Linked DNA regions of Oryctolagus cuniculus. The protein of the gene in region 1 purifies or fractionates together with the protein of each later gene. This does not show direct contact. Links are inferred from orthologs where the notes say so. Each region holds a gene or a part of one and is shown in the gene's direction. Other genes may lie near its edges.

Region 1 (5,636 bases):
GTGCGCAGCGGCCGCCTAGCTGGGCCCTGGGGTGGGAGCTGAGGTCGCCCTCCCCTGCGTGGGCAGAGGCCGCCTAACTGGGCCCTGGGGTGGGAGCTGAGGTCACCTCCCCCGCGTGGGCAGAGGCCGCCTAACTGGGCCCTGGGGTGGGAGCTGAGGTCGCCCTCCCCCACGTGGGCAGAGGCCCCCTAGCTGAGCCCTCGGGTCGGAGCTGAGGTCGCTCTCCCCCGCGTGGGCAGAGGCCCCCTAGCTAGGCCCTCAGGTGGGAGCTGAGGTCACCCCTCCCCCACGTGGGCAGAGGCCCCCTAGCTGGACCCTCCCCCGCGTGGGCAGAGGCCGCCTAGCTGGGCCCTCGGGGGCGCCGCCAGGGCAGGTGGGAGCTGAGGTCGCCCTCCCCCGCGTGGGCAGAGGCCCCCTAGCTGGGCCCTCGGGGGCGCCACCAGGGCAGGTGGGAGCTGAGGTCGCCCTCCCCCGCGTGGGCAGAGGCCACCTAGCTGGGCCCTCCCCTGCGTGGGCAGAGGCCGCCTAGCTGGGCCCTCGGGTGGGAGCTGAGGTCGCCTCCCCCGCGTGGGCAGAGGCCGCCTAGCTGGGCCCTCCGGGGTGCCGCCAGGGCAGGTGGGAGCTGAGGTTGCCCTCCCCGCAGGAGGACTGCCACCAGAAGATTGACGAGCTGTTCTCGGGGAAGCTGTACCTCATCGGCATCGCGGCCATCGTGGTGGCCGTGATCATGGTGAGCGGGCAGGCGGGCGGGGGGGGGGGGGCCGCCCCGCCCCGCCGGCCCCCGCTGACCGCCCCCCTCCCGCCAGATCTTCGAGATGATTCTGAGCATGGTGCTGTGCTGCGGCATCAGGAACAGCTCCGTGTACTGAGGCCGCGCTGCCCCCGCCGCCCCCGCCGCCTGTACAGAGCCACCCCGCTCGCTCCGCACGCAGCTGCCGGCTCTCCGGGCTCTGCGTCTCCCCCGGAGCCCCTGTGGCTGACGCCGCGTGCCAGGGGCACCTGCCGAGGGGGGCCGGGCCTTCTTAATCCTGTTGCTTTCCTGCCTGTTCCGGGAGCACCTGTCCTTTCTAACGTCACCTTCAACTGTAACGCCCGCAGCTGGACACAGTCTGTAATAAAGGAGGAGACATCGGGCATGCTAACGCGCTGGCCGCCGGTCCTGGCCGGTGGGGTCTCAGTGGGTGGGGCGCTGGGGACAGAGGGGTCTGGACTGTGCCGAGCCCGCGCGGAGCGGACGGGACCAGGACCCAGGGAGCGTTCCGCGGGTGACCGCCCCTGGGGCACACCGGGCTGCGGGAGGGGGCGGCCGGGCTCCGGGCTCCCTGCGGGCAGCAGGCCCCAGGTCTGCTGAGACGTGGGTGGCCCCCCGGGCCTCAGCAGCATCTCGGAGCAGCCAGAGCAAAGGCCCCGCCTCGGCCTGGACAGCAGCCAGGGAGGACTGAGGCTGGCCCTGCGGAGGGCGGGGGCTCCTGCTGCTCCCAGCCCCTGGGGGACAGGGTTGCCTGGGAGAACTAGGTGCAGCGAGGAGTCCCCTCCACTCCCCCCGGGCCGTGCTGGCCCAGGCTGGCCTCTGGACGTGCAGGGCCTGGGGCCCCGGGGCTGCCAGGACAGGGTGGGTGTCCCAGAGGTGCCTGGGCCGTGCATGACCCGCCTGCTGTCCGCGGCTGGCCCCCCCGGGGTCCTTAGACGCCGGTCTCCCCGTGAGTGCCAGGACAGCAGGCCCCCGCAGGAGAGGGACTCAGGAGCTGGGGTCTGGCGGGCACCGAGCAGCCCCAGCAGAAACGGGGGCAAAAGGCGCTGCCCACTTGGGGCCTGGTGGCCAGCGAGAGGCCTGTCTGGGAGAGCCCGGGGCCGGACCTGCCCAGGATGGCCACGCCCAGCCCCGGCTGCCTGGGCCGCTGGGCAGCGCTCCGCGCGCCTGTCCCTGAGGGCCGGGGAACCGGAGAAACATCGTCAGAGGCTCCCGACGTCCAGCGCAGCCCACAAGCTCAGTGGCTGCCAGGCCCGCCCCGGGCATTGACGGATGGACCCGGGAAGGGGCAGCGACTTCCGCTTTCGGAAGGCCGGAAGTGCGGGCAAGGGCTTCTGCTCCACCGTGCGCGATGACGCACTTCCTGTCTACGTCGGCTGCTGTCTCCGCACCTCCCGGTAGGTGGCACTAAAACTCCGAGAGGCCTGCGCCTCGCCGTTAGTCGAGCATTCTGGGAGTGGCGGTTGGCTCCGCCCCTTCCTCCGTGTCAACGCTAGGCCTTTTCCGTTTCCGGAACCCGCTCCTGGCGCAGGGCTTGGAGGTGTAAGGAGAAGGGCGTGGGCGCATGCGCACTGGGGCACACGTCCCGTCAGGGCTCGGGAGCTGAGGCCCGGTGGCTTATGGGAGATGTAGTTCTTCGGTCGCGGAGGCCACAGTGCGCGGCTAGCGGGGGACTCGGTTTCCCAAAAGGCTGAGCGCGGCCGGCGGGGAACCCGAATGAAGGCGGCCGGCACGAGGAGCCGGTAAGTCCGGGAGGGCCCTCTGCGCGGCCGCCCTGACACGGCGAAGGTGTGCTCTGCTCCGCGGCAGAGGCGGCCGGAGGCAGCTAGAGCCGCTGCCCCTCGGCCCGGTCGCGGGATCCCGGCCTCCCCAGCCCAGGGCGCGCTCGCCGCGGTCCCTGCTGGGCCCAGCGCTCCTCCTGCGGCTGCTCCGCGGGAGGAGGTGCTGCGCCGCGCCTGGGTCGGCCCGAGGCGGGGAGCGCCGTGTGGAGGGTGCGCCCGGGCTGTCCTGCAGCCAGCCCCTCGGGAGCGCGGGTGGGGGTCGTGTCCGGGGCCGCGGGGGCGGCCTCTGCCCAGCAAGGCCGCTCGAGCTGACCCTTGAGCGCGCTCGCGAGCCCGACCCCGCCGGGGTGGCCGCGGCCCGGGCCCTGGGGCCCAGCCCTGGGCTCCGCCTCGTCCCAGGCAGCTTGCGGCCGGCCCCGCGCTCTGACGCGGGCTCTGTCCCCCGCCCCTCACCCAGCCCCGTCTGAGCAGCGGAGCCGAGGCCACCGAGGAGCCCACGCCGGGGCCACCGAGGACCTCCGTGGGCGGACGGGGGAGGTGAGAGCCGGGCCGGGGAGGGGCCCGCTGCTGCGGCCGCGTGGGCCGGCGACCCTGAGCTGCCCCCTCCCCGCGGGCTGCTTCCCCGCAGGTGCCGTGGGACGGGGCCATGGCCCAGGCGGGGGCCGAGGGGGACGCCGCGCCCCCCGACGACGCCGACTTCCCCAGCGACTCGGGCTCGGACTCGGACTCGGACCTCAGCTCTGGCGGTGCCGAGGCGGCCGCGCCGTGTGTAGACCTGCCCGCGGACTCAGAGGACTCCGAGCCCCCCTCGCCGCCCCCGGCGCCCCCCGCCCCTGCGGCCCAGCCGTTCTGCCTCCGGGGCACGAGCTCCGCCTTCTCCCGGCGCAGCCACAGCGTCTTTGACGGCCTGGAGGGGGCGGCCGGCGCCCCCAGGGGCCCGCGTGTCCCCGACTACGTGGCGCACCCGGAGCGCTGGACCAGGTACAGCCTCGAGGACGTGGCCGAGGCCAGCGAGCAGAGCAACCGGGCGGCGGCGCTGGCCTTCCTGGGCGCGCGGGGCCCGGCCGCCCCCGCCGCCTGCGCGCCCGCCTTCAACCAGGACTCCTCCAGCTGCGGGGAGGGCAGGGTGGTCTTCACCAGACCGGCCCGAGCCCGCGAGCCCAGGCCCGAGAGGAAGAGGGGCCTGGGGCAGGGCGCGCAGCCGGGCAGGGGCCTCCCGGGGACCGAGGCGGTGGAGCTGCCCCACCTGGCCGGGCCCGGGAGCCCAGAGGCCGAGGAGAGGGGCGGCACCCCCGGCGGCCTGCAGGAGGAAGACGCGTCCCCCGCGGCTGCCCACAGAGGGGCCTCGCCAGGGCCCCCCGGCCTGGACGCCGTCGGCTTCCACGGCGCCAGGAAGCGGAGCCGGGAGCACTTCCGGAACAGGGGCAGCGGCTGCGAGGGCCCAGCGGCTGAGGGGTGAGCGGGCCGGGCCGCGGCCGGGGGCCCGGGGCTCCATGGGTGACAATAAAGGTGTTGGGTGTCCTCGGGTCCTGTCTGTCGTCTCACTCCCCCTGGGCCCCCAGCCCCGCTCGGACCCTGCAGAGTGACGGCCCCAGTGTTCCGCTTCTCTGGGTTTTTGTTTGCTTTTAATTTTGAAAGATAGAGAGGTCTTGCGTGCACTGGTCCACTCCCCAGAGAGCCGCAGTGGCACAGGGGCCGTCTGCTGCTCTCCCAGCTGCAGCGGCAGGGAGTTGGGTCAGAGTGGAGCAGCCGGGACTGGAACCACACATACAGGAGGCGGCTTTACCTGCTGCGCACAGTGCCGGCCTGGAGGGGCTGAGGGGTCCCCCTGGGCTGGGGTCAGGCCACAGGAGTCCAGCATGGTGCCGGACAGGCCTGAGTGGTCCTGTAGCCGTGCCCACGCTCGCCTCTGGCTGTGCCCCACCCAGACTGTCAGGACGGGGTGCAGAGCCGGCATCTGGGGTCTTGTGCCAGGACTCCAGCCCAGCATGGGCCATGGGGGACAAAGGGTGGGTTCCCCAGGTCTGCTGGGGGAGGCCCACGGAGCGAGCATGTCTGTCCCCCACTCCCTTGACCCTTGAGGGCTCGGCCTGGTTGTGACTCAGCTCAGTGGGTGGTGTGGGTAGCCCAGGAGCCAAGGCCTGCCCCCGTGTGGACACTGTGGTTTGACCTGGGTTGGAGGGGATGTGGGCTCCAGGGAGCACCGGAAATAGAGCCACTTTGGGTTCAGGGGTGGGGACACTGCCGGAGCCGGCACAGGGGCGGCCGCCCTGCCCCCGGGACTGGGCAGCTGACTGGCTGTCTCAGGACCGACCGTCTGCGTCTCAAAGGACAGAACTGGCCACCACCAGACTTTAGTCAGGCAGCACGGCGGGGGGCGGGGTCCCTGGGCACCCTGCCCGATGCTGTCCAAGGTGGGACACAGGTGCACGCTGCCATGGGAGGAACGCCGGCAGGGTCTGGCTGGGGCTCCTGTTCATGAGGTCGGATGTCGGAGCGGGGTGGCCTGTGTCCCCCGGCCAGCACAGGCCAGGAGATGCCAAGCTGCTCAGGTGTCTGAGGGGGGCTGGGCGGCCTGTGGGTGCTCCCTGCCGCCAGCGCGCCCTCCACGATCAGCAGGGTCCTGCCTGCAGTTCTGAAAGCCTGCCGGGGATGGGGGACATGTGAGCCCCACGTAGGCACCCCCAGGGCAGCCGGGCAGCTGGGGCTCCGTCAGAGGGCAGCACCCAAGCGACAGAACTCCCGGTGGGATGGGGGGAGGCGGAGCCAGCGCTGGCCCAGCTCCCACATACTCACTCCAGGGGGCGCCGCCCTGGGCCAGCGCGTCGGCCACGGAGGACAGGACCACGGTGCAGTAGTTCATCTGTGGGAGGGGACAGGAGGCTGGGCCCCTGGCCCGGACCCCGACTCGGGTGTGGGTGTGAGGGTGTGCAGGGCCGGCCCTGGGGAGGGCCTGGTACTTGCCTGCGACTCCAGACACTTGATACGCCTCTCCTGCTCCCTCAGCGCCCCCAGGGACTGGGCCATGAGCTCCACTCTGTGGAGGAGCGGGAGCAGCCCGTGGGCCTCGGGGCACGTCGTGTGTCCCCTGCCCTGGCCCCAGG
Region 2 (3,843 bases), on another chromosome or scaffold:
TTTTTATTTTTCTTAAACATTTATTTAGTCATTTGAAAGGCAGAGTTAGAGACAGAGAGGTCTTCCATCTGCTGGTTCACTCTCCAGATGGCCACAACAGCTGGAGCTGTGCCTGTCCAAAGCCAGGAGCCAGGAACTTCTTCCGGGTCTCCCAGGCGGGCGCAGGGACTTGAAGACTTGGGCCATCTTCTACTGCTTTCCCAGGCCGTAGCAGAGACCTGGATTGGAAGTGGAGCAGCCGGGGCTCAAATTGGCCCCCATATGGGATGCAGGTGGTAGCTTTACCTGCTACACAGCGCTGGCCCCTCTCCACTGCCTTTTTTTTTTTTTTTTTTTTAAGATTTATTTTATTTATTTGAAAGAGTTACAGAGAGAGGTAGAGACAGAGAGAGAGGTCTTCCATCCACTGGGTCACTCCCCAGATGGCCACAACAGCTGGAGCTGCGCCGATGCGAAGCCAGGAGCTTCCTCTGGGTCTCCCACGTGGGTGCAGGGGCCCAAGGACTTGGGCCATTTTCTACTGCTTTCCCAGGCCATAGCAGAGAGCTGGATTGGAGAGGAGCAGCCGGGACTAGAACAGGTGCTCATATAGGATGCCGGTGTTTCAGGCCAGGGCGTTAACCTGCTGCGCCATAGCGCCAGCCTCCACTCCGATTTTTAATCTGATACTGCTTTGAGGTAGCTGTCTTTCTGTTTGAGTCTTCACTAGCAAAAGGTTTTTTTTAATTTATTTGAAGGACAGAGTGAGAGACCAGTACCTTCCATATGCTGGTTCACTCTCCAAATGGCCACGATGGCTGGGGCACAGCCCCAGGCCCAAGCCAGGAGCCTGGAACTCCATCCGGGTCTCCACTGCTTTCAGGTGCGTTAGCAGGAGCTGGACCATGGCCCTTGCCCTGCATTTGTGGTTGCTCAGTTGCCGTGGGTTCTCAGACGGGAAGTTACACAGCCGGTGGGAGGGGCCTTGCAGGCGCTGGAACTGCACAGAGCCGAAACAGTGGGGCTGCCATTCTGGCGGTGGCTCGAAGCCTCTGTGGCTCCCCAGCAGGCCCTGGCTGTGGTCAAGGCCCTCCTAGCCCGTGTGGTGTGGGGGTAGGTTCCTAAGCCGGAGCGGAGAGGCCACGGCACAGGCGCATCACTGTCTGAGTTGCAGGTGTGCTGTGGTCTGAGGCCATCTTCCTGGAGGCGAGGCCCCAGAGGAAGACCAAGAGCGTGGATGCCCTGAAGAAGTGTGAGCACGACCCCCACGTGCTCCTGGCCGTGGCCAAGTGAGTGGCTGCCCTCGCGGGGTCCTGAGGGGCTGTGGGGGCTCAGTTCCCCACAGCGGGTGGTCTCCAGGGAGGGGCCCCACCACGTGGGCTCCTGGCAGTAAGGGGGTCGCCCCTCTGCTCTGGGCTCCCTCGCTGTGACCGTGTGTGCTGCTCTCGTCTCAGCCACTGTGACACCTGCCTTGACCTGGGATTCAGGCCAGGCTTACGCACAACTTAGAAAAGGCTTCTTGGGGGTGGGGGGCCCCTCGGTGCCTTCAGCTCTGATGGGGGAACAGTGCCCATGGGTTCCACCGTCATCAGTGGACCTGGGAGGTGGTCACAGGGGATGAGGCTGGGGTGTGAACGCACATGGCCGTGAAGCCCAGGGTGGGGGCAGCTGTTTGTGGCTACAGCAGAGAGCCCAGGGCAGTGGGAAGGCTGGGGTGTGCAGTGCCTGCAGGGCCTCGAGAGCCATCTGACCCTGCAGGGTCTTAACTCCCTTCTGGGAAGAGGACAATAGCCGAGGGGCTCGGCCTGAGTCTGGGCAGGAGGTAGGGGCAGGGGTAGTGTTGGAGGCGGTCAGGAGGGGTGTTGGTCTCCTGCGTGGGCTCTGAGGCCTCAGTGAGGACAGCGGCTTGTCCACCGGAGGTCTCCCTCAGCTCTGGAGGTGGCAGCGTGTGACCGTGGCGGTGCGGCCCTCAGAGCCCTGCCCGGCACCTCCACCAGTGCTGTGGGTGTGTGGGAGGGGGCATGGCCTAGCTTCCTCCTGAGGAACTTGCGTGCGGCTCGATAGGGCGGCCATAAAACCTTATAAAAAGCTTTGCTAAAGTAAACAAGGCGCTCCTTGCCGTTCGGCAGCTCAGTGTCCGTGTGTCGGCTATCTGGGTTTGTGTTCTTGAAATCACAGTTTATCTAACACCAAGCAATTAAGAATACCACAAGGCTTAAAAACCAATCAGGTTATCTGGGCCCGAAGTGATTCCTGGTGGTAACTGCCAGGCTTCCTGTGCACTCTCAGTGGGGGTGGGGCCGGGTGAGGATGGAGGTCACCCCACTCCTCAGTGACCCTGCCTTGGGCCGGTGGGGTGGGGGTGGTCTGACAGGCCGTGCTCTGGGCTCCCAGTGCAGGTGTGCCCCTGGCCTGAGTTCCCAGGCTCTCTGGCAGGTGCAGCTGCTGTGGCCTGGCCTTGAGCCCTGGTGCCCAGGGGTGTGGTGGGGCTGCGTGGGCACAGACCTCGCTTCTCCTGGTCACCTCCTGTAAACATGTGGAAACTGGAATTAAAAGATGCATTTGTCTTGGTGCAAAAATGATGAAATCTTTGTCTTAATATGCATTTTCTATGAACTTTTAAAAAAGATGTATTTATTTACTTGAAAGGCAGCGTTACGGAGAGGCAAAGCCAGAGAGACAGAAAGAAAGGTCTTCCATCCACTAGTTCACTCCCCAAATGGCCGGAGCTGGACCGATCCAAAGCCGGGAGCCAGGAGTTTCCTCCGGGTCTCCCATGTGGGTGCAGGGGCCCGAGGCAATGGACCCATCTGCTGCTGTTTGCCAGGGCGCTAACTGGAGCCCATACAGGATGCTGGCACTGCAGGTGGTGGCTTCACCTGCCACGCCACAGCATCACCCCATCTGCCTGTTCACTCCCCAAGTGCCCACGAGAGCTGGGGCTGGGCTTGGTTAGAGTCAGGGCCTGGAACTCAGTCCAGCTGTCTCACGAGGGCGGCAGGAGCAGGAGCCCCGTGGTGTTGGACCCAGGCTCTCACACGTGACACTGGGCTGCCTCTGTGGGCTTTATGAAGATGCCCCGGATGCATGGACTCGAGTGTTCTGCACCAGACATCTTTCAGCTGCATTTTCCGTGAACTTTTTGAAGTACCCTCACGCTTAGTCCAGAGAAAAGGAGGTTTGGAGGAGTTTGAAGATGCTGTGTGTGAATTTTGCCGCAGGGGACATTTGCTGGTGGGTCTGTCCTAGGAGGTTACGTGCAGGCTGGGACACCTGCCTCCCTGTGAGGGCACTGGGTTCAAGTCCCCGCTTCTGCTGTCACAGCCCCATGGAGGCAGCAGAGGTGGCTGAAGTAGCTGGCCCCACCCTCCATATGGGAGACACCGTTGGCTGTGTGGCCACTCACCCAGGGTGCCCCCCCTCTCCCGGAGCAGGCTGTTCTGGAGCGAGCGGAAGATCACCAAGGCCAGGGAGTGGTTCCACCGCACCGTGAAGATCGACTCGGACCTGGGGGACGCCTGGGCCTTCTTCTACAAGTTCGAGCTGCAGCACGGCACTGAGGTGAGACCCGGGCTGGGTGTGCCTCCCTGTGGGGGCGGGCACAGCCCTGGTGGGCTCAGGCTCCAGAGCTGCTTTCTGGCTGCAGTCCACACCCTGAGACTTGGACGCCTGGTCCGTTTCAGGTGGCCTTTAGTGCACTTCAGTGAGTTGTGTGGTGGCTGGGGCCAGGGCTCACCTGTTTGTTGGGGGCAGATGTTTGGTGTCGCTGGGACCCCTGTGTCCCAGGCTGGGGGCCCTGGGTTCAGGTTTGCTTCCTGTGAGTGCTCCCCTGGGAGGCAGCAGGTGCCAAGGAGCTGGGCCCTG

Evidence for each region. Proteins that work in one complex are often made in the same cells at the same time.
Region 2: the proteins of TSSC4 (region 1) and PRPF6 purify together in Homo sapiens (affinity purification with mass spectrometry; 3 studies listed by BioGRID and IntAct, counting the BioPlex papers as one, with this or other methods). This does not show direct contact. The link is inferred for Oryctolagus cuniculus from reciprocal best matches to the Homo sapiens genes TSSC4 and PRPF6.

What each region holds. Positions count from the first base shown.
Region 1 is NC_091432.1:1,157,939-1,163,574, reverse strand, and holds TSSC4 (U5 small nuclear ribonucleoprotein TSSC4), read left to right. Parts: upstream 1-2,016; 5' UTR 2,017-2,102; coding exon 2,103-2,148; exon of another isoform or gene 2,149-2,989; coding exon 2,990-3,069; exon of another isoform or gene 3,070-3,160; coding exon 3,161-3,991; 3' UTR 3,992-4,058; downstream 4,059-5,636. Other genes in the region: CD81 antigen, read left to right, coding at 644-730, 807-869; TRPM5 (transient receptor potential cation channel subfamily M member 5), read right to left, coding at 5,081-5,395, 5,497-5,569. UniProt on the Homo sapiens protein: Protein associated with the U5 snRNP, during its maturation and its post-splicing recycling and which is required for spliceosomal tri-snRNP complex assembly in the nucleus.
Region 2 is NC_091442.1:166,621-170,463, reverse strand, and holds part of PRPF6 (pre-mRNA-processing factor 6), read left to right. Parts: intron 1-737; coding exon of another isoform or gene 738-871; exon of another isoform or gene 872-1,153; coding exon 1,154-1,268; intron 1,269-3,413; coding exon 3,414-3,540; intron 3,541-3,843. UniProt on the Homo sapiens protein: Involved in pre-mRNA splicing as component of the U4/U6-U5 tri-snRNP complex, one of the building blocks of the spliceosome.